Sus scrofa: one gene and its partners. The main gene of each other region encodes a partner of the protein of the gene in region 3 in a complex. Links are inferred from orthologs where the notes say so. Each region holds a gene or a part of one and is shown on either strand. Other genes may lie near its edges. The genes, in order: TGFB3, GDF11, TGFBR1 and TGFB1.

What was found.
Region 1: the proteins of TGFBR1 (region 3) and TGFB3 are in contact, whole or in part, in a crystal structure (PDB 9B9F), measured with the Homo sapiens proteins. The link is inferred for Sus scrofa from reciprocal best matches to the Homo sapiens genes TGFBR1 and TGFB3. Residues at the interface, in NP_004603.1 of Homo sapiens: His39, Leu40, Thr42, Lys43, Phe55, Met70, Ile78, Phe84, Val85, Lys91; in NP_001316868.1 of Homo sapiens: Ala301, Leu302, Asp303, Asn305, Tyr306, Tyr350, Leu351, Ser353, Thr357, Thr360, Leu364, Leu368.
Region 2: the proteins of TGFBR1 (region 3) and GDF11 are in contact, whole or in part, in a crystal structure (PDB 6MAC), measured with the Homo sapiens proteins. The link is inferred for Sus scrofa from reciprocal best matches to the Homo sapiens genes TGFBR1 and GDF11. Residues at the interface, in NP_004603.1 of Homo sapiens: Ile78, Pro79, Asp81, Arg82, Phe84, Ala87, Pro88, Ser89, Ser90, Lys91; in NP_005802.1 of Homo sapiens: Phe322, Ala324, Phe325, Gly326, Trp327, Trp329, Ile330, Met382, Tyr384, Phe385, Asn386, Asp387, Ile392, Ile396, Pro397, Met399.
Region 4: the proteins of TGFBR1 (region 3) and TGFB1 are in contact, whole or in part, in a crystal structure (PDB 3KFD), measured with the Homo sapiens proteins. The link is inferred for Sus scrofa from reciprocal best matches to the Homo sapiens genes TGFBR1 and TGFB1. Residues at the interface, in NP_004603.1 of Homo sapiens: His39, Leu40, Thr42, Lys43, Phe55, Asn68, Met70, Ile78, Phe84, Val85; in NP_000651.3 of Homo sapiens: Ala279, Leu280, Asp281, Asn283, Tyr284, Tyr328, Ile329, Trp330, Gln335, Lys338.

What each region holds. Positions count from the first base shown.
Region 1 is NC_010449.5:99,149,187-99,157,383, forward strand, and holds the start of TGFB3 (transforming growth factor beta-3 precursor), read right to left. Parts: upstream 4,920-8,197; 5' UTR 4,794-4,919; coding exon of another isoform or gene 4,653-4,793; coding exon 4,307-4,652; intron 1-4,306. UniProt on the Homo sapiens protein: Transforming growth factor beta-3 proprotein: Precursor of the Latency-associated peptide (LAP) and Transforming growth factor beta-3 (TGF-beta-3) chains, which constitute the regulatory and active subunit of TGF-beta-3, respectively.
Region 2 is NC_010447.5:21,195,248-21,201,714, forward strand, and holds the end of GDF11 (growth/differentiation factor 11), read left to right. Parts: intron 1-2,315; coding exon 2,316-2,783; intron 2,784-3,202; coding exon 3,203-3,276; downstream 3,277-6,467. UniProt on the Homo sapiens protein: Secreted signal that acts globally to regulate anterior/posterior axial patterning during development. May play critical roles in patterning both mesodermal and neural tissues. It is required for proper vertebral patterning and orofacial development.
Region 3 is NC_010443.5:240,903,670-240,911,156, forward strand, and holds part of TGFBR1 (TGF-beta receptor type-1), read left to right. Parts: intron 1-1,531; coding exon 1,532-1,699; intron 1,700-3,906; coding exon 3,907-4,063; intron 4,064-6,008; coding exon 6,009-6,133; intron 6,134-7,136; coding exon 7,137-7,267; intron 7,268-7,487. UniProt on the Homo sapiens protein: Transmembrane serine/threonine kinase forming with the TGF-beta type II serine/threonine kinase receptor, TGFBR2, the non-promiscuous receptor for the TGF-beta cytokines TGFB1, TGFB2 and TGFB3.
Region 4 is NC_010448.4:49,340,543-49,348,029, reverse strand, and holds part of TGFB1 (transforming growth factor beta-1), read left to right. Parts: coding exon 1-186; intron 187-3,717; coding exon 3,718-3,878; intron 3,879-5,365; coding exon 5,366-5,483; intron 5,484-7,487. UniProt on the Homo sapiens protein: Transforming growth factor beta-1 proprotein: Precursor of the Latency-associated peptide (LAP) and Transforming growth factor beta-1 (TGF-beta-1) chains, which constitute the regulatory and active subunit of TGF-beta-1, respectively.

The DNA of each region.
Region 1 (8,197 bases), on a different chromosome or scaffold from region 3:
ACAGTGCTCTGCAAAGGGTACCATGGCGTCCAGATGTTGTGGAAGTTTGATAAACCACAGGTTTAAGGATTTACTCTTTAAATGGGTTAACCTTTAAATGTTAGCCCACTAAAATACTGTTTGGCCAATGCATCGTTTTGTAAAATTTTGAATCAGAAGCCCACATTTTGAGCCTAGGTTAAAAGTTGGAAGTTTTCACAGAAAGATTCAGATTTTCTGCCCTTCTGGGAAGCAGTTGAAATCTAGTCAAGCTGAACCCACATTCCCAAACACAAAAATTGGCAGGAGCTGAGCAATGGATGGCCTCTTCTAATGGGACCTGCCTGGTTCCAGTTCCCCCACCCCCCACTCCCCACCCCACCCTTGCCGACTCCCCTACACACCTTATTCCCTCCAGGACCCCAAGGCCAAGTGTCCTATGCAGTTTGTCACAGTCCCTGTGTTGCAGGTTTCTCTCTAGATCATTTGCTTCAGCCACCTGGCCTTTGTGAGCACTTGTGTTGTGAGCCCTCTAAGTTCAAGCTTTGCTCTCTTCACTGAGTCTTAAGCATCTTAAGTGAACTTAAAAATCAATAGGGAGCTTGTTAAAAATTCAGATTTCCCAAGACAACACCTCCCAGAGATTCTGATTTTGTAAGGGTGGGCTGGGGCCTGGGAATCCACATTTTTCACATATCCTTAGCCCTGGCCTAGTTCGCAGAGGGCGTTAGCACTTAGAACAGGTGAGTTCTTTCAATATGAAACCTCTTTTAATTTTCAGAATGAACAAGAGGTAAAGGTAGCATCCAGCAAAGAATGCTAAAATATCAAGTTTTCTCTTTGCTCATGAACTCTGGTTTTGCTCATTATCTCAGCACCAAACCTTGGATGAAAACAAGAGTCTGCCACCAGACATGGATAATTACAAGCCACAAGTTAAAACAACACCTACACTAGTGATATGGTAATAACAAGGATGACAAAAGAACTGAAATAGCTGTGTCCTGCCCCACCACGTGGGTCGGAGAAAGCCTCTACCAACTTCCCAGAGCAAAATCCTGGAGACTTACACGGGAGAGTAAGGTAAATATGAGGCTTGCCTTCACTCCCCAGCAGAGACCTGTTGAATCGCCCCAGAGATATACATAGAATTGTTTAGGCTGAAAACGAGTTTAGAGATTATCTCTAACTTTACAGATAAGGAAACTGAGGGACAGAGAGAGGACTTGCTCAATTCCACATGGTGTAGTTGCTTAACCTGCTTGAAATTCTTCAGCAGATGAAGAAAACCCAGAAAACCCTTCTGTCGAATTTAGGAGAACATTTTTGTGGCATAAAATGCCACAATCTCCCGGCTACATAAAAATAGAAAGAGCAAAGAAAGAACACCCCCAGGGATCCCTATGCAATCTGCCACCAGGTTACCAACGTAGCAGCTCCTAGGCCCACCTGCTTGGCCCAACCTGTGGAGTCATTCCCATTGTAAACCAAAGTGCTCTTGGAGCCTAAAGATTAAAGGTGGGATTTAAAATGTGTGTTTCATACATCTGCATCTTTTTTAAAAAAACATGTGGCTGCATGGCGGCATACAGATGTTCCTGGGCCAGGGATCGAAGCAGGGCGGTTGCAAAGACAATGCTGAGTAGTTAGGCCGTGAGCCACAGGAGAAGTCCCACATCTCACCTTAACAGCATGCATGCTGTAGACAGAATGTCTAGGTTACAGTCCCGGTTCTTTGGGGCAAATTATTTAACTGATGCACGCTGCAGGCTCCTCATCTGTAAAATGGGGAGATGAGGTTACCTGTCTGGACAGGACAGAGCCAGAGAATGGGTCTCGTCCTCTTTGCTCTCACCTGGGTGCTCTTTCTCCTGTGCCACCAGAAGTTATTCCTTCTAGCACTGGGCTGTCCAGGAACCCCGTCTCCTTGCCCTGGCCCTTGCTGTCACTTCCTTGTGAGAGCCTGTCTACTTGGCACCAGAGGGGGCTGGGAATGATGAGATGAAGAAGAGAATGTGACCTCATCACCTGGGCGGCAGCGGCAGCTCTGGCACTCAGACCCTGCCCGTGCCCCACCACAGACCCCAGCCCGCCCTCGTGTGTTCCAGACAGGCCCCCGCGCCCAGGCCTTGGATGATGGCTGTCTGCTCCCGCTCAGCATCTGTGGGACGTTTGCACCAGGCCTTCTTTATAATTACTGCGCCTTGTGCGTCCGCCTCTCTGGGGCTGGCTCAGCACCTGGCCAGCTGCAGGGCGGGCCCGGCCTGCGTCTGCTCAGACTCTGTGTCACCTCCAGCAGCTGCAGCGTCTGGGCCTGCTTCCTGTTTGCACCTGCAAGCCTCACTGGCACCCCCCGTGGTCCGTGGGGCCTTGGACCCGCCATGACATCCCAGTAGCATCCTGCCCACTGTGCCAAGTTTCCTTCTGGCCCGATGGCGGCTCTGGGCTGCCCCCACCTACTACAGTTTCAAGGAAGGTCCTGGTGCTGCAGCCATGGTGCTGCCCAGCATCGGTGCAGCCCTTCCCTGGTTTCCACAAGGCTGTCCTCTAACTGTACTCTGAGTCTTTATACAAACGTCCACTGGCACCTGTGTGCCCTTGCATCTGTCTCAGCTTGAGATGCCAGGCTGTATGGGCCCTGGTGACTCAGAACCCCTCCTCCCCAGGACTCCGCCTCCTGACCCGGATCATTAAGGTCCTTCCCTCTGGCCCTGGACCCTCCTCATACCTCTCCCGAAGGCGTCAGCTTTCAACCCTCCTCCAACCTTAGGCCACTATCTCCCGCTTTTGTGTTCCCAAGGGTTTGCGGGTTCAGCTCTTCAATTGCTAACCATAAGCCACCCCCACCCCCACCCCCGTCAGACCCCCAGCCAGCCCCGCCTAGAGGACCCGGGAAGGGAGCACACGAGCTGTGCCTCATTCTCCGGCCTCCACCCCACACAGGAGCTACATCGAAGGCAGCCATAGGAAATCGGATCAGGAGCCCCTCGCCGGTAACTACACGCTCCTGGGCCCGGCGCTCCCAGTGAGGCCTCTGGCACCTTCTGCCAGGGCTGGTCCACCCCCCGGCTGCCCACTCCTCCTCCTCTCCAGGCAGGTTCCTTTTGACCCTGCACTTCCCCTGCCGACCACACGCACCTTGCCTGCTCCGTCCAACTCTCCCACCCCTATTCCAGGCACTGCCCACCTCCCAGGTGAGCCAAGGCTGAGGTAGCCTGGGCATCAAGGACACCTGCTGGTAGGAAAAGCAAACAGAGCTGTTCCCAGAGTCCCTGGCCCGTGAGTGGCTCACATTCCTCCTTCCTGGGCTGTCAGTTTCTCAGCATCTGCCAAATCTCTCTTTCTTGTATTGAGGTTTTTTAAATCCCCGTTCAGTAAACACACATGACTTCCACACGTGTACAAACACACACAGACGTCTCACCCAGAAGCCGCCCAGCTTCGCAGCACAGACGGGAGCCTCCTGGGAAGACACACTCCCAGACACACGTCCCCTCTGCACCCACAGCCACACTTCCCACCCACTCTTCCCTGACACGCAGACACAAAAGGGCTGCCAGCGTCGTCTACACATCCAGAGCCACATCCCTGCTTTCTCCATGTCCACAGGCCTGGAAGACGCCCATACTGCACACATGAATCAGTCTTCTGTGCAAAGCCAGAGCTCCACATCGCTTGAAAGCACATGTACACGTGAACAGAGGTGCATCCCCTTCCCCCACACAGCTCACGTGGGTCACATGTGTCGCGTGGACTGAAAGGCCTAGACAGCTAGAAGCTGTCTCTTGCCTGGGCTTCAAAAAACTGGACAGGCATTAATTTGGGGCAAGTATACTCTTTGTCCCCAGCTGTGGACAAACCGAGCGTGAGACGTGTCACAATGAGGTGTGAAAAGCAGGGGGCAGACCGAGGTCCCCAGCCTCATAGAACTGCAAGGGCTCTCTTAGGAGAGAGCAGCCCGGTCCCTCTGCGGCATCCACAGGCTCACAGATACCTATCTGACCCATATGCCACAGCGCATGTGTTAACGCGACAGCACCACATCCCTCCGAATTAAAATCGGTCAATGATGGGATGGGAGTTTAGCAGGCCGCTCAACTGCAGGGCTCCCGGCCTCCCAGCAGCACCCAGCTCTTACCAGGAAGGTCCCTCTGCCTCTTCCCACCCACCTCCCCAGCCCTCTGGCTGCGCATCATACCTCCGGAGCCCTGGGGCCTCGAACCCTGGGCACCCCGCTGTGTGGCCACCGCCAGGCCCCCCTCTGTGGAGCGCCCTACTCCCGGTCAGACCCTCCAGAGCAGACACCCCAGCGGGAATTTGGACTCACTGTGCTCCTCCAGCCCCTGGATCATGTCGAATTTATAGATTTCCTTGGCATAGTACTCCGACTCGGTGTTTTCCTGAGTGCAGTCGTCTCCCCTCTCCCCGTGCACCTCCTCCAGCAGCTCCCGGGTGCTGTTGTAAAGGTCCAGGACCTGGGTGGGGATGTTGGCCAACATCGATGGATCGGGGGGACTGGTGAGCCTGAGTTTGCTCAAGATCTGTCCCCTAATGGCTTCCACCCTCTTCCTCTTGATGTGGTCGAAGTCCAAGGTGGTGCAAGTGGACATGGAGAGGCTGACCGTGGCAAAGTTCAGCAGGGCCAGGACCACCAGAGCCCTTTGCAAGTGCATCTTCATGCGTGAGCCGGGGAGAGAGGCCCGGGGGCTGCGAGGCCTGGTGAGGAGGAGACCCCAGCCGACGTGCAGAAGGAGGGAGGAAAACCAGGCGGCCTCCCTAGATCCCGAAGACTGAGGCTTGGCAAGAAGGTGCATGAACTCACTGCACTGCGAGAGCTTCAGGACTTCCAGGAAGCGCTGGCAACCCTGAGCACGAAGAAGCCGACTGTGTGCCTTGAAGCTCTGGGTTTCTTCTCCATGTGTCTAAACAGGTTCTGCTGGGCTCTGACTCCCAGCAGGCCAGGTGGAGGGCAAGCAGAGGGCTGGGAGGGGTGGCAAGGCAGCTGGGAGTGGGAAGGGAGCTGGAGTTTTTCCTTAGGTAAAAATAAATAGAGCGGATATCTGATATTGCCAAACGCCGCTTGGCGATGGGGAGAAAGTGGGTATTTTAAAGAGGGAGCAGAAGGACCATGGCTGGGTCCCAAAAATCAAAATCTTTGCGTTGCCCTGAAGGAGAATAAGAAAAGAGGATGGAAAAGCAAAGAAAAAAAATTTTTTTTTTAAAAAGTCGGATCCCAGTGAGTAGGTGGGGAGAGGCAGGGCTAGGCTGCTGCTGGCCCAGCTAAAGGTGGGGGCAGCGCAGGACACACTTGTCTCTCGGGCACACCATTCATGCTTTCTCTTTTGTTTACACTTCCTCGGGGGCTTTCTAAATGACTTTGTTCATGCTGCCTCTCATCTTCATTGGCTGGGATGCGGGCTTATGTGCAATTGGAATGCAAGGGGACAGCCCCTGGAGAGTAGCCCCAATAATCCACTTGGACGCCCAGGTCACCAGCACCTCGGCTTGTCTTCTCCCTCGGCCATTGCTTCTGGTCCCTGCTTCTTAAAAAATAAAAATAAAAAGGAAAAGAAGAATAAAACAGAAGCCGGTTGGTTCACTGCATGCCTCCTCCGGAAAGCTGTTACTCCTTCTTTCTCATGCTTCTTCCCCTATCTCTCGCCTCCTCTCTTGCTCATTCCCTTGGACTTGGCTTTCTGGTTCCCTCCCTTTCTCTCCCTCTAGCTTCCCTCTCCCTCTCCCTCTCTCTCACACACTCACATGCACACACACTGCTTTCTCTATTTCTCTCTGCTGAAATTTTATACCTCCCTCCCATGACGTTTCTGGCCCGGGGGCGGGGGGGGGGGCAAAGGAGGTGGGGGATTGGGGGGGAGGGACCAGTTCACGCAGCCTCTTTTGCTGCACGATTTTAATGTTTTAAACAGGCACAGGAAAAGCCGAGCCCGTTTGAAAAATACTTTGCGAGTCCTCTCGATCGACGTGGTAACTGAACTTTTTTTCCCCTCTTGGAGTCACTCCTGCTACACGTTGACTGTTTTTCTGGAAAGTTACTCCGATGAATCCCCTCCCTCCTTCTCCCCCCCGACTCCTTCGCCCTCTCGCCAGCTGTCAGTCCGTCCCCTCCTCGGCCGGTCTCTCGATCCCTCCCAGGCCCCGCGTCCCCGGCCGCCCCCCGGCCTGGCGGGACGTAGGCAGGGACGGGGCGGGGGGAGAGGGGCGCGGGGCGTGGGAGGGGCGGCCGTGCCCACCCTCGGTGGGGGTGACGCCCGGCCTGGGAGCGGGGTTGGAGTTGGGTTCAGCTCCGCGGCGATGCTGGCCCCGATTCTTCATTGACAAGATTGGAGTCGGGTGGCTCGCGGAAGCTTGGCGACGCTCCAGGGGCATTGAAAAATGGTGGCGTTTTCCGGCAGATCGAGGGTGCCCTCTGGCGAGGCGAGGCCGCCAGTGACGGGGGCTCCCCCGGGGTCGGGAGGGTTTGGGGGTAAGGCTGGGGGCCTGGGGAGATGGGGCCGCGAAGGAGGGTGCAGAAAACAAGATCAGGTGCCCTGGGGAACAGGCTCCCTCCCGGCCCGAGGTGCGTACAAGTGCACCTCTCCCTTCCCGGAGCCCCTTCTGCAGCGGCTCTCGCAGAAATGTCCTCCAGATGTTGCTGGCCTCCCTCCCCGCCGAGGGTTCCGCGGGGAGCTGCGCCAGCGAGCGCAAAGTCAGCAGTTGGCCCGAGCCCATTTCCCAGATGGGTGAGGGGAGGTTTTCTCTCCACTTTCGTTCCTTTTCTCAGCCTAAGCTTCTAGGTCTTTTCCCATCAAAAACGTAGGGAGGGCAAGCCACAACGCCTGCCCCCGCCCCGCCAACTCAGGAATGTCTCTGAATTGATCACTTTCCTGGGAATCAGTGCTGCTGCCCGCCGCCACCCCATCCCGCCTCGCCCCAGCCTTCCTGACCCTTCCTGCGAGGGCCTGTTCTGCTCCTGGTTCCTAGGCCGCTAACTGAAGGGATGCTCTCAGCCTCCCCAGGGCAGTGGCTGATCAATTTAAGCTGAGGAAACGGAGGCACGGACCGATTTTCGAGCGTACACCGCTGGTGAGTGGTGGTGGTAATATTTAACAAGGGCTTTCAGGTTTGGGAAATATTCCTAGATGCAGAAAGCTTAAAGTAACTTGCTTTTTACAGCAGAAATGATCGCATTGTAAATCAACTGTACTTCAATAAAACTTTAAAAAATTAAAACAACTTTTTTTTCTAGAGTAAATTATTTTGAATGACTTTAGGTCATATAGTTAGTGAGCGTCAACACTGAGATGTGGACCCAGGAAATCTGTGGCCAGTTAATCTATGCACTTAACTACTCTATGCTATACTGCCTCTGGAATTCAGCTCTCATTTGAGAAATATTTTGATATCTACTATATGCCAGGCCCTGTTCCTGGCTCGGTGGATGCAGCAGTGAATGAAACAAAGCCATTCCCTTATGGACTTTATATTCTCGAGGTGGAGGTGGGGCAATGGGAAGGCAATAAATGAAATAAATGTGTAAGCAGTGTAATAATGGTAAAAGGTCCATGCCATGGTGGAGAATAAAGCAGGGAAGGAGGAGAGGAAGTGCCTAGGTTGGGGAAATGTTGCAGTTTAAAATCTGAGAAGGCCTTGTGGAGGCCTTTAAATAAATACTTGCAAAACAGGAGGGAAAATTGTTGAAGTTATACCCGCCTGGGCTCCACTTCTAGCAAATCAGAGTTCACATCTGTTTTTAGCAAACTTTGCAGGTGAGTCAGTGCAAGGTTTGGAAGACACTACTCCAGGGCCTCTTTCTGCACACAGTGAGCACCTCTTGCTTTCAGGAAGTCAGGGAAGAAGTAGGAGTGAAGGCTTGGAAAGTGGCCCCAAGGTGGTGATGGTGCAGCTGTGGAAGAAGATAGAAATGGAGTCTCAGGCGTTCCCGTTGGGGTGCAGTAAAAATGAATCCAACTAGTATCCATGAGGATGCAGGTTCGATCCTGGCCTGGTTCTGTGGGTCGGGGATCTGGCATTGCCCTGAGCTGTGGTGTAGGTTGCAGATGCAGCCTGGGTCCCGTGTTGCTGTGGCTGTGGTGTAGGCTGGCAGCTACAGCTCAAATTCAACCCCTAGCCTGGGAAATTCCATATGCTTCAGGTGCAGTCCTAAAATGCAAATAAAAAGAAAAAAAAAAAGTAAAGAAAAGAAAGAAAGAAAGAAATA
Region 2 (6,467 bases), on a different chromosome or scaffold from region 3:
TGATTAAATCCACTTCAGTTTAGTCAAAGAACAGTGTTTAGATGCCAAGAAGAACTTCAGGCACTTGCCTATATAATTTAAGATCGAGAGTTTAGGGAGTTCATTCAACATGGATTTATTGAGCACTGCCTGGTACTGTGGGCAACAGTATGGACAGTGTCTACCCTCATGCAAATTAGTACCTAATGGAGTTCCCATCGTGGCTCAGTGGAAACGAATCTGACTAGCATCCATGAGGATGCAGGTTTGATCCCTGGCCTTGCTCAGTGGGTTAAGGATCTGGCATTGCTGTGAGCTGTGGTATAGTTTGCAGATGTGGCTCGGATCCCACAGTGCTATGGCTGTAGGGTAGGCCGGCAGCTACAGCTCTGATTAGACCCCTAGCCTGGGAATCTCCATATGCCAAGGGTGCGGCCCTAAAAAAGACAAAAGACAAAACAAACACAAAAAAAGAAATTTGTACCTAATGGTGAAGACAGGCAGGAAAATCAGATAGACCCTATGCTGAAATTAGGCTTAGTATGCTATTTCAGTTGCTGCTTGTCACTCTCCATCTCACCAGCAGCCCCAGGGACTCTCCTATCCCTGAATCTCCACTCCCCAAACCCTGTCCCATTGCACCATCACTGCAGCTCCAGCAGGAGATTACCTGGGAGGACTACCAGTGCCCTGGGACCTTGGAGAAGAACCAAGGGAAGGAAAGCTGCAAAAGAATTTTGTGTCTCGTGTCCTGAATATATGAAGATCACTAGGCACTTTCCTCCTCATCTCACTTGAAGTATCCTCCTTCTCCTAGGGTGGGAGTGTGGGATGGATGCTGATGGCAGACAACAAATGATAACTTCTCCATGATCATGCAGACGTGGTCGTGATACATAAGGACCTAAACTTTCTCATCATCCTTACATGGCTCTGGGAGCTAGTTCCTGATTCTTCCTCTCAGAGTATATTTAGAGTGGGGATGGATATTCCTGTCCAATAGAAACATGATTTAAGGCATTCTCAACTGACATAAGAGATTAGAAAGGGAAACTGAGAGGAGCTCTAGTGGAAGCAGAGGCAGATAGAGAATTCATTCTTTAAACACAAGAAGGGTCAGTGTAGGGTCCAGAACAAGGGGCAGTGGGCCAAAATGTAAAGTTGGGATATTAAATCTTTGTAAAGGCTTACTGGCGCTGGACTGAGAAACTGAAGGAAGCCCAGGGGAGAAAAGAAGACTGATTACATTTGATTTGGTGTGTTGAATATTATTTCTGATGGTTTGGGAAAGTAGGAGAAAGAATACATGGAGGTAGTTTTTCCTTTCCTTAAAAGTGGAGACAGGGAGTTCCCGTCGTGGCGCAGTGGTTAATGAATCAGACTAGGAACCATGAGGTTGTGGGTTCGGTCCCTGCCCTTGCTCAGTGGGTTAACGATCCGGCGTTGCCGTGAGCTGTGGTGTAGGTTGCAGACGCGGCTCGGATCCCACATTGCTGTGGCTCTGGCGTAGGCTGGTGGCTACAGCTCCAATTCAACCCCTAGCCTGGGAACCTCCATATGCCGCGGGAGCGGCCCAAGAAATAGCAACAACAACAACAACAAAAAAGACAAAAAAAAAAAAAAAAAAAGTGGAGACAACAAAATGGTGATGAGGAAGCAGCTGAGGGAACATGTTCTCAGGGTCAAGGGATGTTGGAGTCAAGATGCATGGGGCTTGCTTGAGTAGTACCATTCTTCTGGGTGTGTTATTTCTGGTGGGAACGATGTGAGAAGCCTAGATCTGACTGCTGATTTACTTCAAGGAATGAATTTAGTCCATGCTCCCTATCTGGACCTTGGGTTATCCATTCTTTGAGGCCATCTGTTTTGGGGGGCCTGTGCCAGGCTCCACCTGGCCACCAGACAAAACAGAGCAGAAATGGGGAAAGGTAACCTGAGGACAGCAGGTGTGATAGCAGGTTTGCCTCCTATGGAGAGCATCAAAGATTCAGAACAAGTTGGAGCCCTATTTGCTGGGCAAAGTTGGAGAAAGGGAAGACAGCAGGGTGGAAGAGTTCTCTAATAACTATCTTTGCAGGCTATCTGGTAGAGGGGAACCTGTGCATTAGGGCAAACAGATTAAGGAAGGGGTGCAGATCCCGTAAGGCCCAACAGAGCCATCATCCTACTGGGGGAGCAGGGTGCTATTCTAGGCTCCGGTGACATGGTAGTTAACAAGAAAGCAGAGGAGAAAGGTAACACGGGCTGAGGAGTCCAAGTTGCCGACACCCCCCAAGGCTGCTGACGCCCTCCACAAACACCTTTTGCTGATGCTGTGCCCCCTTCTCTCTTATCAGCGGACCCTGCAGTGCAGACAGATGGCAGCCCTCTCTGCTGCCATTTCCACTTCAGCCCCAAGGTGATGTTCACAAAAGTACTGAAGGCCCAGCTGTGGGTGTATCTACGGCCTGTGCCCCGCCCAGCCACAGTCTACCTGCAGATCTTGCGACTGAAACCCCTAACTGGGGAAGGGACAGCAGGGGGAGGGGGCGGAGGCCGGCGTCACATCCGTATCCGCTCTCTCAAAATTGACCTGCACTCGCGCTCTGGCCACTGGCAAAGCATCGACTTCAAGCAAGTGCTACACAGCTGGTTCCGCCAGCCACAGAGCAACTGGGGCATCGAGATCAACGCCTTTGATCCCAGTGGCACAGACCTGGCTGTCACCTCCCTGGGGCCGGGAGCTGAGGGACTGGTGAGCAGGAAGCCTGAGACGTTGGCAGATATGTATAACCTGGCCCTGAGGAAGTGGGATGTTGGAAAAGGTAGACCAGGAATGCAAAGGGTGTTGTGTTGAGGGTCTGGAGCTGACTCAATAGAGTTAGGTGGTGGTAATGGGGTGCTATCACTTTTCAGAGACCCAAGGCAGGTAACGGCTGAAAACTGGATTTGGGTGAAGGTGAACAAATTCATGAGACAAAGGTGGGCTATTGTTAAGACTTTGAGCTAAGGATGAGGGCCAGGTTGCCAGGAGAGGGAGAATTCGGCAAGGTGAGTTGAGGAGAGATGGCTAGCTGGCAAGAAAAGTGGGCAGAAGGCAGGGCTTGGGGATGGGAGCAATGGAGAAGCTGAGAAATCAATAATCTCTGTTCCGATCCCCTGTTGAGGGGCAGGTGACAAAAGAGCAGGGAGTGGGAGCTCTTCAGGGCTCTCTCACATGTCTTTCTTCTCTCCCTCACCCCAGCATCCTTTCATGGAGCTTCGAGTCCTAGAGAACACAAAACGGTCTCGGCGGAACCTGGGTCTGGACTGCGATGAGCACTCAAGTGAGTCCCGCTGCTGCCGATATCCCCTCACAGTGGACTTTGAGGCATTTGGCTGGGACTGGATCATCGCACCTAAACGCTACAAGGCCAACTACTGCTCTGGCCAGTGCGAGTACATGTTCATGCAAAAGTACCCGCACACCCACTTGGTGCAACAGGCTAATCCAAGAGGCTCTGCTGGGCCCTGCTGTACCCCCACCAAGATGTCCCCAATCAACATGCTCTACTTCAATGACAAGCAGCAAATTATCTACGGCAAGATCCCTGGCATGGTGGTGGATCGCTGTGGCTGCTCCTAAGGTCGGGGACAGAGGATGCCCCCCCCCACAGACCCTACCCCTAGACCCCCAGCTTTGACCCCCTCCCCCAGGCCCTAAAGCTCCCTCCACCTCTTCTGATGAACATCACACCTTGTTCCCTGCCCAAGCAGTGTGCAATACAACAGAGGGAGGCAGGTGGGGGATTGAGGGGTGAGGGGTTTGAGGGAAAGGGGGAAGAGGAGGGGGCATGGTCAGGTGGGGAGTGTGTGAGGTCTGAGGTGAGAAGGTTTGGCAAGAAGACTGAGAGATGTAGAGACAGAGTAGAGCAGAGGGATAGAGACGGAGGAACAAAAAGCAGCAGCGAGAAGGCAAAGGAATAGAGATGCAGAAGAGACAGAGACTAGGCAGAGATAAACAATGAAGAGACCGAAATGGAATATTAAGAGAAAGCCCCACACCAAGCCTCCTTTCTTCCAGTGGCAAGGTGAGGGGCTTGGTACGGTCTGGGGAGATTCCCCCCTGACTACCATTCTCAGTAGGAGAGGAAATCCAGACCCATTCTTAGCTTCTTCCCTTTCTCCCTCCAGCAGTGGCTAGGGGAAGGGAAGTAAGGGCAGGGGCAAACGTGAGGATTTTGGAACTTTATTTATTTATTTATTATGACTTTTCATTTTTTGGTATTTGGCTTTACTGAAATAGAAGGGCCCCTGCCCACTGTGCCCCATTTGTCCCTTATTCCCCAAACCCTGTCCTCCCTCAATACCCACCTACTTAAGCACTTGTTTAAAAGCCTCCAGGGTTGAGAACGGGAGTAGAGGGCAAGAGGGCTGACACATGGAAGTTTCCAACCCCAAATCACCCTACTTAACCTTCCTGAGCCAAACGGGTTGAACTGAATTCCAGCAATTGCAGAGACAGTGAGAGGTTAGGGTTTAGAAGCTTGGGGGTGTGGGGGAGGGCGCTCAACATCCAGGATCTATATGAGAGCCACTAAACTAACCCTCAGGTCTACCCTCACTGTACTGACTTATTTAGGCAAAGGTGTGGCCTGCTTATGCTCAAAATCCCCCCAGCCAAGAGAGAGACCAAAGAGCCTGTGGAATGCCTCTGCTCCCAGCCTCTGTCTTCAGGTTAATAAAAAGAAGAATAGAGAGAGCCCAGAGTCCCCAGGTCTGGGAAGGGTTAGGAGAGGTCAAGAAAGGAGTTGTAAGGAGGCTGAAGGTTACAGGGCGTTTGAATCCAAATCACTGCTCTGGGCTAGGGAGGAAAGCCAGCAGACCAAGGTGGAAGGGATTCTGGAGGGGGGACATTTTAGTCCCCCAACCCCAAAGCTCAGGGTGGAAGGAGAGAGAACAAGGGAGCAGAGTGTCTATAATTATTTTTATCTTTTATTTTTGGAACCTAGCAGTACCTGGCAGCAGGGAGGGGACAATAAAGTGGGGGAAAGCATCTGACAAGGCCAGTTAGAGCAGAGGACAGGAAGGATGGAGACTCCCTGGTTTGGAAAGCTAGGAAGCAGGCAGGTACTGGTTGCCACTCCAAGTCACTAGCTGGGCCTATTCATTCCTCCACAATCCTGACCCACCCTCCTCGGGACGCACTGTGCCTCGGTTTCTTCCCCTCTATGGAATGAGAAATAGCAGCACCCGCCACAGCCAAGAGATGAATTCTGAGCACTTACCACGGGCACTTTATGGACATAAAATACCTCTCGCTGTGGGACAGATAACCAGGGCACCAGAGTAGTGGTGAAGAGATGTGAGGCTGAGGAGTCACAGGCTTCAGAGTACAAGTTCCCCTCTGCCTCCCTCCCAGCTGGACAGTGCCTGAAGCCAAGGAGTTGAGAATCTCCTGACCCATACCCTATCCATACCTCACCACCAGACCTCTTGGTTCCAGACTAGAGCCTAGAGGATGTCAGGAGAGGAGGGGAAAAGAACCTTCAGCAAAACTGTCACTCTAAGTAGAGCCAGCAGTTATGGGTCTGATGCAAACAGTGCTGAACTAAAGTAAAGCCCAAGTTGGAGAGCTGATCTGCAAGGTTGGTTCTTCACAAGAGCATGACTTTCCCGCCTGGCCCAGCTGGTGGAAGGGGAAAAGGTATGTGGCCACCCTTGGAAGGGTGATGTTGGTGAGTTTTGGCATCTTATTCCCATTCCCATAGTGAAGAAGTGAGATGAGGTTATTTTGGTACAGGAATGGGCAAGGGCTGTTAAACATTTCAACTCGCCTCCTCCCACATAGCAGCTAAGCTAACCCCCCAGCCTCTCCTCTCTGGCCCTGTTCTTCATCTTTCCTTCTGCCCCAATCTTGGAAAACCAAGACCCACCTGACCATCAACACCATTCATATTTCCTTGGTGGAAGGAGAGGAACAGAGAAGTGAAGATCAGAAGATGCCTCCTCCAAGGCCAAATGCCCGTGTCTCTTGATCTTGGCACAGGGTGGGGGTTGGACAAGAGGCATCAGGTGACTTCCTTCTACAAGTTCTAGAGAGCTGGGGCATTAGATTTGGGGGACACTTAGAATATGCCCCTGTAATCCCACCAAATAAAGACCTTTGGGGGAGGGTCTTTCTCTTATGAACATAAATCTGAGTTTTAAGTCTCATTCTCCTGGTCCTCCTCAACCCAAAGAGGCATGGGATAAATAGGCTTGGGGGCACAGCCCAGCAACCTAGTGGGAACTAGTACCCCCCCCCCCCACCTCATGATGTGTGTGGACCTGGCCAGTGCCCCTCTGATCATAATTAGTGTAATTATTATTTACTTTGTGTATTTGTTACACCATGTGTGTGATTGCCTTTGTTTGTTAAGGGTGTCTGAGGAGTATGGGGCTGACAGGGGCACTGGAATGCCAGGAAAGGACTTCTTCACTGAGATCAAGGCTTCCTGGAGGGAACCATTGCAAAAAGGCCATCAGGC
Region 3 (7,487 bases):
AAATCTCCCATTCTTCCATCTGACTATGTTCCTATTTATTTCTTGTATTTGTGAACCTTTCAGAATTCAGGTATAGTTAAAAAGCATGCATACCACACTCAATTGTATGTCAATAAAACTTTAAAAAAAGAAATAAAAGTAAGCATGCAGATGAAGCTAGTGATGTACCTGTATTAAGGAAAAGAAAAGGTACAAGTTTGGACAGAATCAGTTTATAATAATTTATCAAGTAACAAGTTTATAAAGAACTAGTATCCCGAATATCTAAATTCTTTTGAAAATACCTCCAGAATCTTCTGAAAACATTTCCTTCCTTAATCTCTTCTAATCAGAATCACTTTCCTTCAAGTAACAACCTTCAAAATATAGAAAATTTTTTATGTCATTTGAGAGTTTTTTCTGTTGTACAGCCAATAGAGAAGGAAATAGCACATTTTAAGTTCTTATGTGCCATGAGTTACACTAAATGCTTTAAAACATCCTATTTTAAAATCTTTGTCTTGAAAAGTAAGCTATTCTTGTTGTGTAAAAGAAGAAACAAAGGCTCAAAAGTTAAGAAACTTGTCCAAGGTCACATAGTAATAACCACACCCTGGATTCCAACCCTGGTCAGAATGACTCTAAATGTGTGTCTTTTACTGAATTGTCCTATCTACTAGTATTGTTGTAATACTTTTTTTGCTCTCATGAGTTTGTGAAATATATGGTTTTCTAGCTACTTCTAGGTTAACTTAGGCTTTTATGGACCAGCCTAGGCTAGAAGCCCAACCAGAATATTTACCGTGATTCTCGTGGGAAAATACAATTCAGATTCATGTATTAGCTTTCAAATGAATTTTTGGAAGAACTCAGATTCCTAGGTTGTTGAGGTTCAAAATCACCTTGTGTAAACTGGATTCAGTCCCAGCTTTTTCTCCTCTCAACATTTTCATTTCCTGTCCTAGCTTTCTCATGTGTCAGTGACACCATTATTTTTATACTTTTCTAACCTGGAAACCTTGGAATCATAATCGTCTTGTCTGGCTTTTCTGTGAACTGTATACATAGTCTGTCATTAAAGTTTGAATTTCTCATTTAAGCTCACTTTCAGTTTGTCCCATAATATTCCATTCCCATTGCGGCCACACTAGGTTCCAGATACTTCTCATCTTCTCCCCTCGCCCCGCCCCCCTTTCTCATTTCCCTTCCTCCTTCCAGAACAACCACTGAGCACCTAACCTGAACCAGGCATTCTTCTAGGCAGCTTCGCTACTATCTGTGTAGACTTAAAGTCACCATCTTTGAACTATGATTCTTTCTCTCTTGAATGGGATTAGTTATCTTAATCACAAGAATAGGGGGCTTACTTTAAGGATCTAAAGGATATGTACATAAAAGTATGAGACAAACTGAAAATATGAAGGAAATATATACAGATTTAAGGTACCAACATACTGCAGTCGTGTGGTTCAGGATTGAGAGGGAAAGTGAGAACTTTTAATACATCATAAATGTTCTAAACCCATCTGAAGTATTGTTATTCTACTTACAGATAATGGTACATGGACTCAGCTTTGGTTGGTGTCAGATTATCATGAACATGGATCCCTTTTTGATTACTTGAATAGATACACAGTTACTGTGGAAGGAATGATAAAACTTGCTCTGTCCACAGCAAGTGGACTTGCCCATCTTCACATGGAGATAGTTGGTACCCAAGGTAAGTCAAAGCAGTCTTGTTATTAAGCTTTAAATGTCCTTGGATCTGATGTCCACTTGGAAAAGTTTTGCAAGAAGTCAGTCTAATGGGAGATGTTTAAACTGAGTTTTTAGATGAGAATACTGAGTGAAGTAAGTCAGAAAGAGAAAGACAAATATCACATAATATCACTTATATCTGCAATCTAATATACAGCACAAATGAACCTTTCCACAGAAAAGAAAATCATGGACTTGGAGAATAGTCTTTCTGTTAAATCTTAAGAGTTAGGAATCTAGGAGTTCCCATCGTGGCACAGAGGAAACGAATCCGACTAGGAACCGTGAGGTTGTGAGGTTCCTGGCCTCGCTCAGTGGGTTAAGGATCTGGTGTTGCTATGAGCTGTGGCATAGGCTGGCAGCTACAGCTCCGATTAGACCCCTAGCCTGGGAACCTCCATATGCTGTGGGTGTGGCCCTCAAAAAAGACAAAAGACAAAAAAAAAAAAGTTAGGAATCTGGGATTTTGTTGAGAGATTCTTTAGGTATTGTAACAACACTGATATTTTTGTGTCTTAAGATTGTATAGTCTTGCTTATGATTTTTGAGGATCTTGATTTAATTCAATGAATTTTATTCTTAATTGTACAACCATCAATTACAACCTAATTTTAGAACATTTCCATCCCCAATCCCCAGTCCATTCTCCCCACTCCCCCTGCAGCCTGTCCCCTGTAACCATAAATATTTCGAAGTCTGTGAATCTGTTTCCCTTCTGCAAGTAAGTTCATTGTATCCTCTTTTTGGATTCCACATACAAGTAATAGCATATAATGTTTGTGTCTGAGGATCTTGATTTTGGAATTCAATTTATATGTAGTATTAAATGAAATATGAAAATGCTCGGTAAACATCAACATGCTAGAAATTTTATCTGACCACCTAGTAATTATATTTGACCTTATGATAAGAAGACTGCATGGGACAGTTTTGTAGTTGAAAAATTGAATACTAAGTTTTGGTTATAAAATTTTTATGCTATGTTTGTGCCATAATATCAGATACCAGTTACATTTTCTGCTTTAATGATCATCCACTTGCTATTGATGGCTCCCACCCCCTACATTACTACACACATCACGTATGCTGTTTTACTATTTCAGCCAGCCCTGTCTTTGTAATTTTTATTGTTGATTTTTTATTTTTGAGTTATAATTCACATACCATACAATTTACCCATTTACTGTATAATTCAATGGTTTTTAGTATATTCACAGAGTTGTGCAGCTATCACTACAGTCAATTTTAAAACATTTTCATTGCCTCAAAAAGAACTCTATTTCTCCCCATTTCTTTAGCTTGAGGCAACCTTTAAATCTACTTTCCATCTCTATAGATTTGCTTATTCTGGACATTTCATATAAGTGGAATCATACACTAAGTTGTCTTTTGTGACTTGCTTCTTTCTCTTGGTATATATTTTCAGGGTTCATCCATGTTGTGGCATTTATCAGTACCATTTTTTATGGATATACCACATTTTGGGTGTCCATTCATCAGTTGATGGGCATTTGGATTATTTTTCCACTTTGAGCTATTGTGAATAATATTGCTATGAACTTTGGTGTATAAGTTTTTGTGTGGATATATGTTTTCATTTCTCTTGGACATACACCTGGGAGTGGAATTACTGAATCAGATAGTAACTCTGCCAAACTTTTTTTCCAAAGGTGCCTGTACCCTTTTAAATCCCACCAGCAGCATATGAGGGTTCCAGATTTTCCACATTATAATTATATTTTAATAGCACTCCTAGAGGCTAGTATTAAAGGTACATTCTAGTTGATTGGCAAAGGAAGTGATCTAGATTCTTGGTTGTTGGATTTGAAAATCAGTTACTAGGGTTCCTCTAAAAAATTCAGAGGGTGTCAACAAACAAATTAATATCTTTAACCCCCCCCCCGTCTTTAAGTGTTAGAGTTCCATTTTTTGAGCATCATATTTTAGAGCATCTTATTTTCTCTGCTTTCTTTAAAGGAATTAACTTCAGCAACTTTTTGTGTAATGATTCACTTTAGGTTGTTTAGTAATGGCTCAGTTATTGTGAGTGATGGAGGCCAAAATGCGTTGATAGTGAGTTTGGAGGAGAGGCTTTTGGACCCAAGTTGAGATTTGTGATTGGTATTACCCTTTATGCAACCATGTCTGATTTTTTTTCTTCTTCATTAGGAAAACCAGCTATTGCTCATAGAGATTTGAAATCAAAGAATATCTTGGTAAAAAAGAATGGAACTTGCTGTATTGCAGACTTAGGACTGGCAGTAAGACATGATTCAGCCACAGATACAATTGATATTGCTCCAAACCACAGAGTGGGAACAAAAAGGTACACTTATGGATACACTGTAATGTTCTTAAATCAACTTCTTTTCCTTCTTATTCCTATATACTTATCTTTCTGAAACTCAGCCTTGTACTTCATTAGATTGCCCACAGGTAGAACTACATCTCATGGTCTTGCCTGCTCTGAAGGCAAAGTTACCTGACTTAAAATGGTACCTGCTGATGAATGGTGCCCTTGCAGAAAGTATTACCACTAGTTCTGTTATCATATAATAGCTAATATTTATAGGGTACCTGCTCTGTACCAATCATTGTAATGGGTTTTTTATATAATCTCATTTAATGCTTTCCTCAAATACTGTACTGTAGTCAAACTGTATTCACATTTTTATTTCCTGAAAACGTGTCTTTCTCTCTTTTAACTTTAACATGTGCTGTATCCTAGAGCAGACTTTCTCCTCCTGTTTCTCTAACTTGTACTTAATCTTCCTTTCTCATAGGAATCCTTTTCTGGACTGTTAGGTTGTCCTTGCCAAGGACTCTCATAATATGCTGAACTTGGACTATTGAGGCACTTGGCACATTACAGCTGTCCATTTATTCGTCTGAATATCCAATTGGACCATAAGCTGCTTGAGAGCAGTCTTGTATTCCCAGCATCCATCACAGTGCCTAATACATTGTAGGTCTTCAGTAAATATTTGTTGAATCTATGAGTACTCAAAGAACATAGGTAGGCAGGTGTCACTACCCTCAATTCACAGATGAGGAAACCATCTCATGGAGGTTAAGTAATGGGGCCACCCTCATGGATGGTAAGCTGCAAAACTGAGAGTTGAACCTGGGCCTTTCTGACCCAAAAGGATTTACTCTGTGTATCACAGCATTTGCCACATCGTAGCTTCAAACTACTACTTTGCACTTGAATAGAGCCAACCTTTATTCTATCTCAACTGTATTTATCATTTATGGATTCAACAGGGCTCTCAGAACTGTTGACTCACAGTTCCAGGACAGTGGTTGCTACAGGTCTTCCTGGGTCCTAATCTGTAACCTTAGTAGAATTTTTGAAACCTCAGAACCCTAAAATTTGGTGTCAGTAGGAGGGCTGGCTGGCATTCATTTTTATTTATTTCGTTCCCTGGAGTATGTCCTTGTCCTTCTTTTTATCCTGTTTTAGTGAGAAGACTTCTGGATTAAAATACATAATCCCTGCATAGTACATGACAAAGTAGGTGGTGTACATTGGAATGTTTATGATAGTCAGTTGTTACATGTGTGTCCTTCATTGGAAACAAAGATCTTAAAGGCAGACAGCATGAAATTGCTGTTTCAGCTTTTCATGAGATTTAGTTGACATCATTAATTTGCAAACCAGTACAGATATTTAATATTTTTTGAGTCTAATATGATCTATTGTAATATAGTCTGTATATGTCTGTGTATAAAGAGATGTCCAAAAGGAGTGTTAAAATCTTAATATGTGTGGCAGTAATGGAATGATTTTCTCCACTTTGTACTTTACGTACTTTGGGAACATTTCTGTAAGTAGTAGTAGGCATTAAAAAAAAAAAAAAAAAACAAAACCACCAGCGGGAGTTCCCATCGTGGCTCAGCAGAAATGAGTATCTGACTAGTAACCATGAGGACACAGGTTCGATCCCTGGCTTTGTTCAGTGGGTTAAGGATCCAGCATTGCCGTGAGCTGTGGTGTAGGTCACAGACGTGGCTCGGATCTGGTGTGGCTGTGGCATAGGCCAGCAGCTACAGCTCCGATACTGCTAGCCTGGGAACCTCCATATGCCGTGGGTGCAACCCTAAAAAGACAAAAAAACAACATCAACAACAACCCCAGCAGAATTGCTGAAAGGGGGGAAAGGTCAAAGTTAATATTGATTACCCTCCCCCCTTTCAGGAGTAAAAATTTATGCAATAGTTTAAAAGTAATGTCACTATTCCATAAAATAAAATGCTGACTTCTTTTTTAGGTACATGGCCCCTGAAGTTCTAGATGATTCCATAAATATGAAACACTTTGAATCCTTCAAACGTGCTGACATCTATGCAATGGGCTTAGTATTCTGGGAAATAGCTCGACGATGTTCCGTTGGTGGTAAATCTCCCCTAACCCCAAACATTTTTATTATGAACAAAAGTTGTTCAAGAATTGTCCTTTTTATTGAATGAAATTGCAGTTAGCAATCTGAAATTTATATTCCCCTGGTGATCACTGAGAGTGTCAGAGAAAATAAAGGAGGTAAATGACATGCCTTATTCTAGTGTACAGCTTAATCCTAATTTACAGCTTTATCCCAATGTAGTCTTTTTCTATTTCCACTTAAATCTTGGGAAGCATCCAAAACCAACCCCTTGTTGTCTTGGAATATAGAAATTGAGAATGGATGACTGCTTAAGAGGCCACCCAGGAAGCTATTTCTAGCCTGGGTCAAACTGATTTTTTCCCCCCGTGATTATTATTTTCTCCATTTTGATAGCTGGAAATTACATACACAAATATACTACCATTGCATTGCTTTTTAAAGTAAGGTTAGTTTGAGATTAAGCACTTTCAGTGTTTACTCCAGAAGCAGTCTGCTAATCCTTGAGGACCCAGGCTCACCTGAGACTAGTGCCTCAGGGTTTTGAGGCTGTGAGGGGTGGAATAGCAAATAGGACAGGGTATTGACAGATGCAAGTAGAGGAAGGGACCTGCACCTCAGGCTTGCCTTGTAGGATTCACACCTCAGTGATAGAGTGTATATCCCCTCACCAAGTGAGAGGTTACACACTTGCAGAATAAAAGCTTTAATTTCTGACACATTGGGGTTCTAGGAGAAAATGTCAATCTGGTCTTCACAGCTCATAGTTAACCATTATTAAAGTAGCCTTTGCTGATCCCACAGGGATACTTAGTTTCAAGGTGTGGGCGCAGTACTGACTCAAGGAGGTGAATGGTTGATGCAGATGCAGAACAGAGAGAGCAGACTGAGAGCCCTATTCCACGTACCTGAGTTCATAATGGGGCACTGTAACAGGACTCCCGGGGATTCCTTTTCTTTCTGGTCAAAGAATGTTTTGACAGTATCTTCAAAGTAGATTTTTCTTTACCAATGTAGGAATTCATGAAGATTACCAGCTGCCTTATTATGATCTTGTACCTTCTGATCCATCAGTTGAAGAAATGAGAAAAGTTGTTTGTGAACAGAAGTTAAGGCCAAATATTCCTAACAGATGGCAGAGCTGTGAAGTGAGTATTTATTTGGCTGCTACACAATTTTCTAAACTGCTTCTGGTTATTGAATGGAAATTTGCTACTTTATTTAAGACATAAGAATTCTCATTCTTTTCTTTTTCATGGCTATTAAACCAGTGAGTAAAAACAGAATAATTTGTTTTTCGTGTTCAATTTTAAGCACATTGAAAGGGCCGTGGAACATTTTAGTGGCCATCACTGTATCAGAACAGTG
Region 4 (7,487 bases), on a different chromosome or scaffold from region 3:
TTCGGCTCGCCAGCCCCCCGAGCCAGGGGGACGTGCCGCCCGGCCCGCTGCCTGAGGCCGTACTGGCTCTTTACAACAGTACCCGCGACCGGGTAGCCGGGGAAAGTGTCGAACCGGAGCCCGAGCCAGAGGCGGACTACTACGCCAAGGAGGTCACCCGCGTGCTAATGGTGGAAAGCGGCAACCGTGAGCTCAGAAGGGCCGGGGATCCTGGAGGGGAGCCCCCAGGGGGCGCCGGAGTGCAGGGGTCACGGGGAGGAAATTACCCTAGAGGAAACTGGCCGGAGGAAGAGGACCCGGGGGTGCCGGGAACGCGTTGGCGGGGGGGGGGGTCCCAAAGAAGATAGGGCTGAGCTCCCTATGTCCCAGATACCTAGTCTTGAAGAGGAGATAGCGAAGTGGACCGCTTTTAGAGAGCGACAGGAACATGTGGGATCGTGGGGGGAGTCCATTAGAGGGAGAGAAGCGAAGCAGTTGCAGGGGGAGTAGAAAAGCACTTCCCCTTGCAGGGTGCAATAAAATGAGGGGTCGTGGGGTAGGGGCTGCAGAGAGGGAGCCTGATTCGGAAAAATCGAGGACCCCAGAATTTGGGAAAGGAGAAAGAGTGGGTAAGCGGACCCAGAGCTTAGGGGTCGTGTGGCAGGAAGATCCAAGAAAGACAGAAAAACTAGGTGAAACGAACCCCGGAGGTGCCAAAGAAGTGGAGAGTGGACCCACTTGCACAGGGCTAGAGGAGAGTACGAAGGATCTGGGGAGGGCTCAGAGAGAGAGGCGGGGAGGGGTGATACATGCGGGGAAAAAAGGGGGGCGCGATGTCGTAGGGTGGAGGAAGCTAGCGGGAAAGTAGACCCCAGTTGGAGTGCCAGGGATGCGCGGAGAGGCGCCCTGAGTATTTCGCACACGGACTTGAGAGAAGGAAGCCCGGCGGAGGAAGCGGGGCCCCAGGAAACCTAGAATACTGGGTCGTGGGAAGGGGTTTATAGAGCGGCGAGACAAGCGTGGGAAAGGTGGACCTGGGAGGAGGCAGAGGAGAGAAGGACCGTGCCATGCTGGGAGCAGCGAGCGACTCCCATGTCCCCGGGATGGAAGGCAGAAGGCTGAGTGAGCAGTCGAGCCATAGGGGGAGAGGTGGGTGGGTGCGACTCTACAAGATCGGGGTAAGAAAACCGAACTGGTATGGGTGAGGAAGCCCCACGTGGGTGCCACGCGCGGGGGGAGGAGCCTGCGCTTCCGGAAGGGGGCAGGAGGACTACGTAGAGCTAGACGCGGAGAGCCAGGACCCCAAACTCTTAGTTCCTCTCTGGGAGGCTGGGGAAACCCCAGCGTCCGGCCGCCTCGCCCTCCCTCCCCTCCCTTTCCTTCCCGTGCCTGGTGGCGGGGGGTGGGGGGGGGATCGCGCGCGGAGCCCGAGGCGAGACGAGACAGGTCCGGTCCCCGCCCTCGCGCCGGCGGCGCCTCCCGCCCTCTTCACCCCCAGCTCTGGGCGGGGCTACCGCTGGGCCGGCCCCTCGAGCACCCGCGCGGGGACCCAGGCGTCCCGCGTGGCCCGGAGGCTTGGGGGCGCCCCCTCCGCCTTCGCTTTCTTCCTTGGCCGTGTAGTTGTGGGTCTCTGGCCCATTTGTGCGCCCAGTTGCGACTTCAGCCAAATGACGCCTCTACCTACTCGCATCTCTGTGTCACCTTTTCCGTCCTGGTCGCCTCACTTACGTTGTAGAGATTTTTTCAGCACTGACACCTTCAATCCCTTTATGCCTCCATCTGGTCTCTGAACTCTACGTCTCTCTTCCTGTGTGTCTCTATCGCCCATCTTTGCCTTTCCATCTCTCCCGTCGTGCTCTGTCACTGTCTGAATCTTCTAGTTTCTGCCTCGCCACCTCTTCTTTCTCTTTTTCTTCTCCATACCCCAATCTCCAGCTCTCCCCTCTGACCGTTCCTGGCCCTTCTATCTCTCTTCCTCCCTGTTTGTCTCCCCGCTTGTGCTCTACCCTCCCTTTGGGGTCTGCTGAGTAACCCCTGGGCCAAGATAGGGCTTATTTGGCGGGTGAGGGGGGGGTGACTGGCCTGGCTAGACAAGGACTAGTAGGGGAAGGAGGCCCCCAGAAGGGGCTTCCTCTGTCCTTTCTCATCAGATGTCTCCAGCATGTCCCCCACCCCCCATGCACAGGCGGAAAGCAACTTCCCCAGTTGACCAGGCCTTCATGGCTGGCCTCCTCATTCCCAGCCCCCAACTTTTTCTAGATTAGAAGACACTCTTCCTAATTTTCTCTGTTCCCTTTCCTCTGCCCTTGAAGCCATTCCTACCTAGAATGAACTTTGCCATCTCTATCCAGCTGAGGGAGGAAGCAATTATTAGTAATAACAATAACAAGAGTAAGGTCATATTAGCAGGGAGGCAGCATAGTCTAGGGGTTAACAGAGTCTCTGGAATCAGACTGCCTGAGTTGGAATCTCCATTCTGCAGTTTCCTAGCTGTGTGGTCTTGGGGCAAGTTGCTTCATCTCTTTGTGCCTCAGTTTCCTCACCTATAAAATGGGTATAATAACAGTATCTTCGTCATGGGGTTGTTGAACACACACATTGGTGTGACCACAGTATGCAGTCTCTTTGCGACATGCTTTATCTGCCATCATCTCACTTATTTCACACTGTCATCCTGCAGTCAGTCCTTGCCTTACAGGGGAGAATCTGGCACAGAGAGAGGAGACCAAAGGTACACAGTGCTTCAGTTAGGAGAGCCTGGGTTGAGAAGCAGAGAACTTGATGTCAAGTTGATCTTTCCTAAAGAATAGGAAACTGGAGTTCCCGTCGTGGCACAGTGGTTAACGAATCTGACTAGGAACCATGAGGTTGAGGTTCGGTCCCTGCCCTTGCTCAGTGGGTTAAGGATCCGGCGTTGCCGTGAGCTGTGGTGTAGGTTGCAGACGCGGCTCGGATCCTGCGTTGCTGTGGCTCTGGCGTAGGCCGGTGGCTACAGCTCCGATTCAACCCCTAGCCTGGGAACCTCCATATGCCGCGGGAACGGCCCAAGAAATAGCAACAACAACAACAACAAAAGACAAAAAAAAAAAAAAAAAAAATGAATAGGAAACTGAGGCGCCAAGAGGGAATGTGACTTGCTCAAAGTCACAGAAGGCAGTAGAGGCACACAGTCTGATCCAAATGCCCTCAATCCCTATGCAATGTAACTTGCATTTGGGGAGTTCAGTGGCTTGGCAGTTTAAGAAACTGACTAGTAGCCATGAAGATGCGGGTTTGACCCCTGGCCTTGCTCAGTGGATTAAGGATCTGGCATTGCCACGATCTGCGGCTCCCTCTGGCATTGCTGTGGCTGTGGCGTAGACCGGCAGCTGCAGCTCTGATTCAACCCCTAGCCCAGGAACTTCTGACCCTAAGAAAGAAAAAGAGAGAAAAAAAACCCATAACTTGCATTGGCGGCTGTAAGTGCTGGGGAGGCCTGAGTAAGCAGAGCAGCCCCCACCCCGGTGCCAGCCTCGTACTGAGGGCACACTTCCTGCATGGTGGGAGGGGAAGGTGGATGAGACCTCGATTAAAGAGGAAGAAACAAACCCAGAGAGAAGCCCGGTGCCCAAGGTCGCACAGCTAAAAAGCGTCTGGTGGGGGGGCTCCAACCCAGTTCTGTCAGCCCTTAGACTTGGGGTGTGCCAACCCTCCTGTGCCTGTTAAGCCCTAACATCCCCCCTCTCCGCTCCTGCCTAGAAATCTATGATAAATTCAAGGGCACCCCCCACAGCTTATATATGCTGTTCAACACGTCGGAGCTCCGGGAAGCGGTGCCGGAACCTGTATTGCTCTCTCGGGCAGAGCTGCGCCTGCTGAGGCTCAAGTTAAAAGTGGAGCAGCACGTGGAGCTATACCAGGTGGGGGTCTGGGCCCCAAAGGTGGCCTGGGCTGGGGCAGTGCTGTGGTGGCTGGAAGGCTGGTGGCTACCGAGATCCACACAGATGGACCCCGAAGGATGGGGTGGTGGGCACAGACACAGTGCTTTCCGACACCTATAGCCTTTGGACGATAAACATTTAGAAGGCCTGAATCTTAGGAGTTGGACTCGAAGAACTCAGGACTCCTGAAAGTTGCAATCTCTGGAAAGGTTGGAGACTCAAAATGCTCTGTCCCACACAGCAGCCACTAGCCACGTATGGCCATTTAAGTTGTTCAAATGAAATGAAAGAGGGAGTTCCTGTTGTGGCTCAGCCGTAACAAACCTGACTAGTATCCATGAGGTTGCAGGTTTGATCCCTGGCCTCGCTCAGTGGGTTAAGGATCTAGCATTGCCGTGAGCTGTGGTGTAGGTCGCAGACGTGGCTCAGATCTGGCGATGCTGTGGTTGTGGGGTAGGCCAGCAGCTGCAGCTCTGATTAGACCCCTAGCCTGGGAGCTTCCATATGCTGCGGGTGCAGCCAAAAAAAAAAAAAAATTAAACGAGAGAAAAAATTCAGTTCCTCAGTCTCACTGACCGTATTTCAAGTGGCCCATAGTCACATGGGGTTAGTGGCTGCTATTTTGGACACCACAGATAAAGAACATTTCCATCAACACAGAAAGTTCTTTGGATAGCTCTGTTCTAGAAGATTTAGAGTCTCCAGGAAGATTGGGTCCTCCAGAAGGACTGGATTCTCTTGAAGGTCATGTGAGCCAGAATCCCTATCAGGTAGAATGTTCTATTCCATAGCAGGTGGTAGACTCTTTTCACAAGGAACTTTTAGTGTTAACTTCTTGGAGTCTAGAGAACCTGGCTTCGTGCTGCCGACTTCCAGGGGTCATTCCACAGGGAGGGCAGGCATCTGCAACATCTAGGTTGGTGACACGTCAGACTCCTGGGTTTGTAGAACTTTAGTCTCATAGAATTTCTCAGGCTGATTGAACAGGTAATTCCGGGGTGCTCCCCGAGGGCTGGAGTTATGGAATGACTTCTAACATAAGCCCCCAGAAACCCCTATAGACTTTTGGTGTTCGGGTGGCCAAATTTCCAGAACTGTATAGTTAATAACCCTCACGATGTCTGGAAGGAGAATCATAGCCTCGTGGGCTGTCCAGGCTGAAAGGGGCCTGGCATTTCACCAGTGGGGAAACCGAGGCCAAAGCGGGAGAGGGGTTTTCCAGGGCCATGCCTGAGGTCCAGGGTGGAGGCTGAGCTGCCCATGTGCCTTGACCCCAGCCTGGGGCTCTCCCTCCCCTGCGGGCTGCTCTGGGCCTGGGCAGTTACTGGGGGGCCTCTGTGTGGATGTCTTCGAGGGGGCTGTTGGAGGGCCGGTTTGGGGAGCGGGTGGAGGGAGGGCTGCAGTGGACATGGGGGTGAGTGGCGGCATCTACCCACTGTTTCCTCCCCAAATTCATCATCCTCCAGAAATACAGCAATGATTCCTGGCGCTACCTCAGCAACCGGCTGCTGGCCCCCAGTGACTCACCGGAGTGGCTGTCCTTTGATGTCACCGGAGTTGTGCGGCAGTGGCTGACCCGCAGAGGTGAGGACCGCTTGTCTGCCCCACCCCTATTTTGTAATAGCCTTGAGCCCATTGTTTGTCCTGGGATTGCCCTGCCTAGTACCCCCCACCCCATGTTGGTGCCAAAGAGCCCGGGCCTGGCCCTCTTCCCCAGACACTCAAACCTGAGTGATGAATGGTTAATCCGTTTCCTGAGCACCTGCCCTGTGCTGAGTGATGCTGCGGACACTGCAGTGACCCAAACCGCCCCATCCTTGCCCTCGTGGTAGGGTGAGGGGATTTGGGGAAAAAACCTAAAAAAGCTCCCTGGTGGCCTAGCTGTTAAGGATTCAGTGTTGTTGCTGCTGTGGTTCACGTTCAGTCCCTGGCCTGGGAACTTCTGCATGCTGTGGGTACGGTCCCAAAAAGTGAAAAATAAAAACCAGGTAGTAATGTCCCAGAGTTGGACAGGATTGGGATGGGGAGCTCAGAGGAGGGCCTCTGAGCCAGACCAGGAGGTCAGGGAGGGCTTCCTGGAGGAGGGGACATTGAAGTGGGTGTCTGGGGTTTGAGTGACCCAGCCTGGGGAGGAAGGAGGGACAAGAGTGATCAAGGCAGGAGTTCCCATTGTGGCTCAGTGGTGACAAACCCATCTAGTATCCATGAGGATGTGGGTTCGATCCCTGGCCTCGCTCAGTGGGTTAAGGATCTGGTGTTTCTGTGAGCTGTGGTGTAGATCACAGACATGGCTCAGATCCTGCATTGTTATGGCTCTGATGTAGGCTAGCAGCTGCGGCTCCAATTCGATCCCTAGCCTGAGAACCTCCATATGCCACAGGTGTGGCCCTGAAAAGAATAAAACAAAAACAGGAGTTCCCGTCGTGGCGCAGTGGTTAACGAATCCGACTAGGAACCATGAGGTTGCGGGTTCGGTCCCTGCCCTTGCTCAGTGGGTTAACGATCCGGCGTTGCCGTGAGCTGTGGTGTAGGTTGCAGACGCGGCTTGGATCCTGCGTTGCTGTGGCTCTGGCATAGGCCAGTGGCTACAGCTCCGATTGAACCCCTAGCCTGGGATCCTCCATATGTCGCGGGACCGGCCGAAAGAAATAGCAAAAAGACAAAAATAAATAAATAAATAAATAAATAAAATAAAACAAAAACAAACAAGAGTGTTTGAGGCAGAGGGAGAGGGTGTGCAGAGGCCTTGAGTCCAGGGAGAGCCTGACACGCCTGATCTGTCTGGAAGAGAACTGTGTCTGTCCCGTGCCGCCTGAGTCCACAGTGCTCAGGCCTCCCTTCCTAATCTCCCTTTCACTCATCCCTTCATTCAGTCAGTGCCAGCAGGTCCCTGCTCTGTGCCTGGCCCCGTGCTGGTGGTGTGGGGGTCACTCCGTCACCATCTCTAGGCTTGCCCTCATGGGACCCACAGCCACTTCTAGACACCTAGGAAGTCTTAGCAGAGCCCTGGCTGGCTGTGATGGCCCCAGTGATCAGGGCCAGGGGGAGGGAGGCTGTAAGTGCCGTGGGAGCCCAGAGTGGACACCCAGACCCATCCGGAGGGGTCCAGGAGGGCTTCCTGGGTGAGGAGGATTGTGTTGAGACTCATGGGAAAAGGGATGGTTTGACCAGATGAAAAGATGGCGGTGAGAGAGCAGGTGGGCACTGGGACGAATATCCTGGGCTGCTGGACAAAGGTCTTGGTCATTGCTGAATCCACAGCCCCCAACACTGTCTGGCACATAGTAGGAGCTTAGGAACGCATTCACTCATTCATTCAAGAAACCTTTCTCGGAGTTCTCTTGTGGCTCAGCGGTTAAGGACCAGTGTTGTCACTGCTGTTGTGGTAGCTCTGGTTACTGCTTTGGCGTGGGTTCGAGCCCTGGTCAGCCCTGGAACAAGAGCCTGGGCGCTTGTGTCCCAGCCCCGCCTTTTCCCACCTGGGGTGAGTTACCCCCACTTTGTGGGCCTTGGCCTCCTCATCTGTCTGGTGGGGAGCTCTGGTGAAAATCAAAGGAAAGAATGCACACAGAGCATCTGGAACGGGAT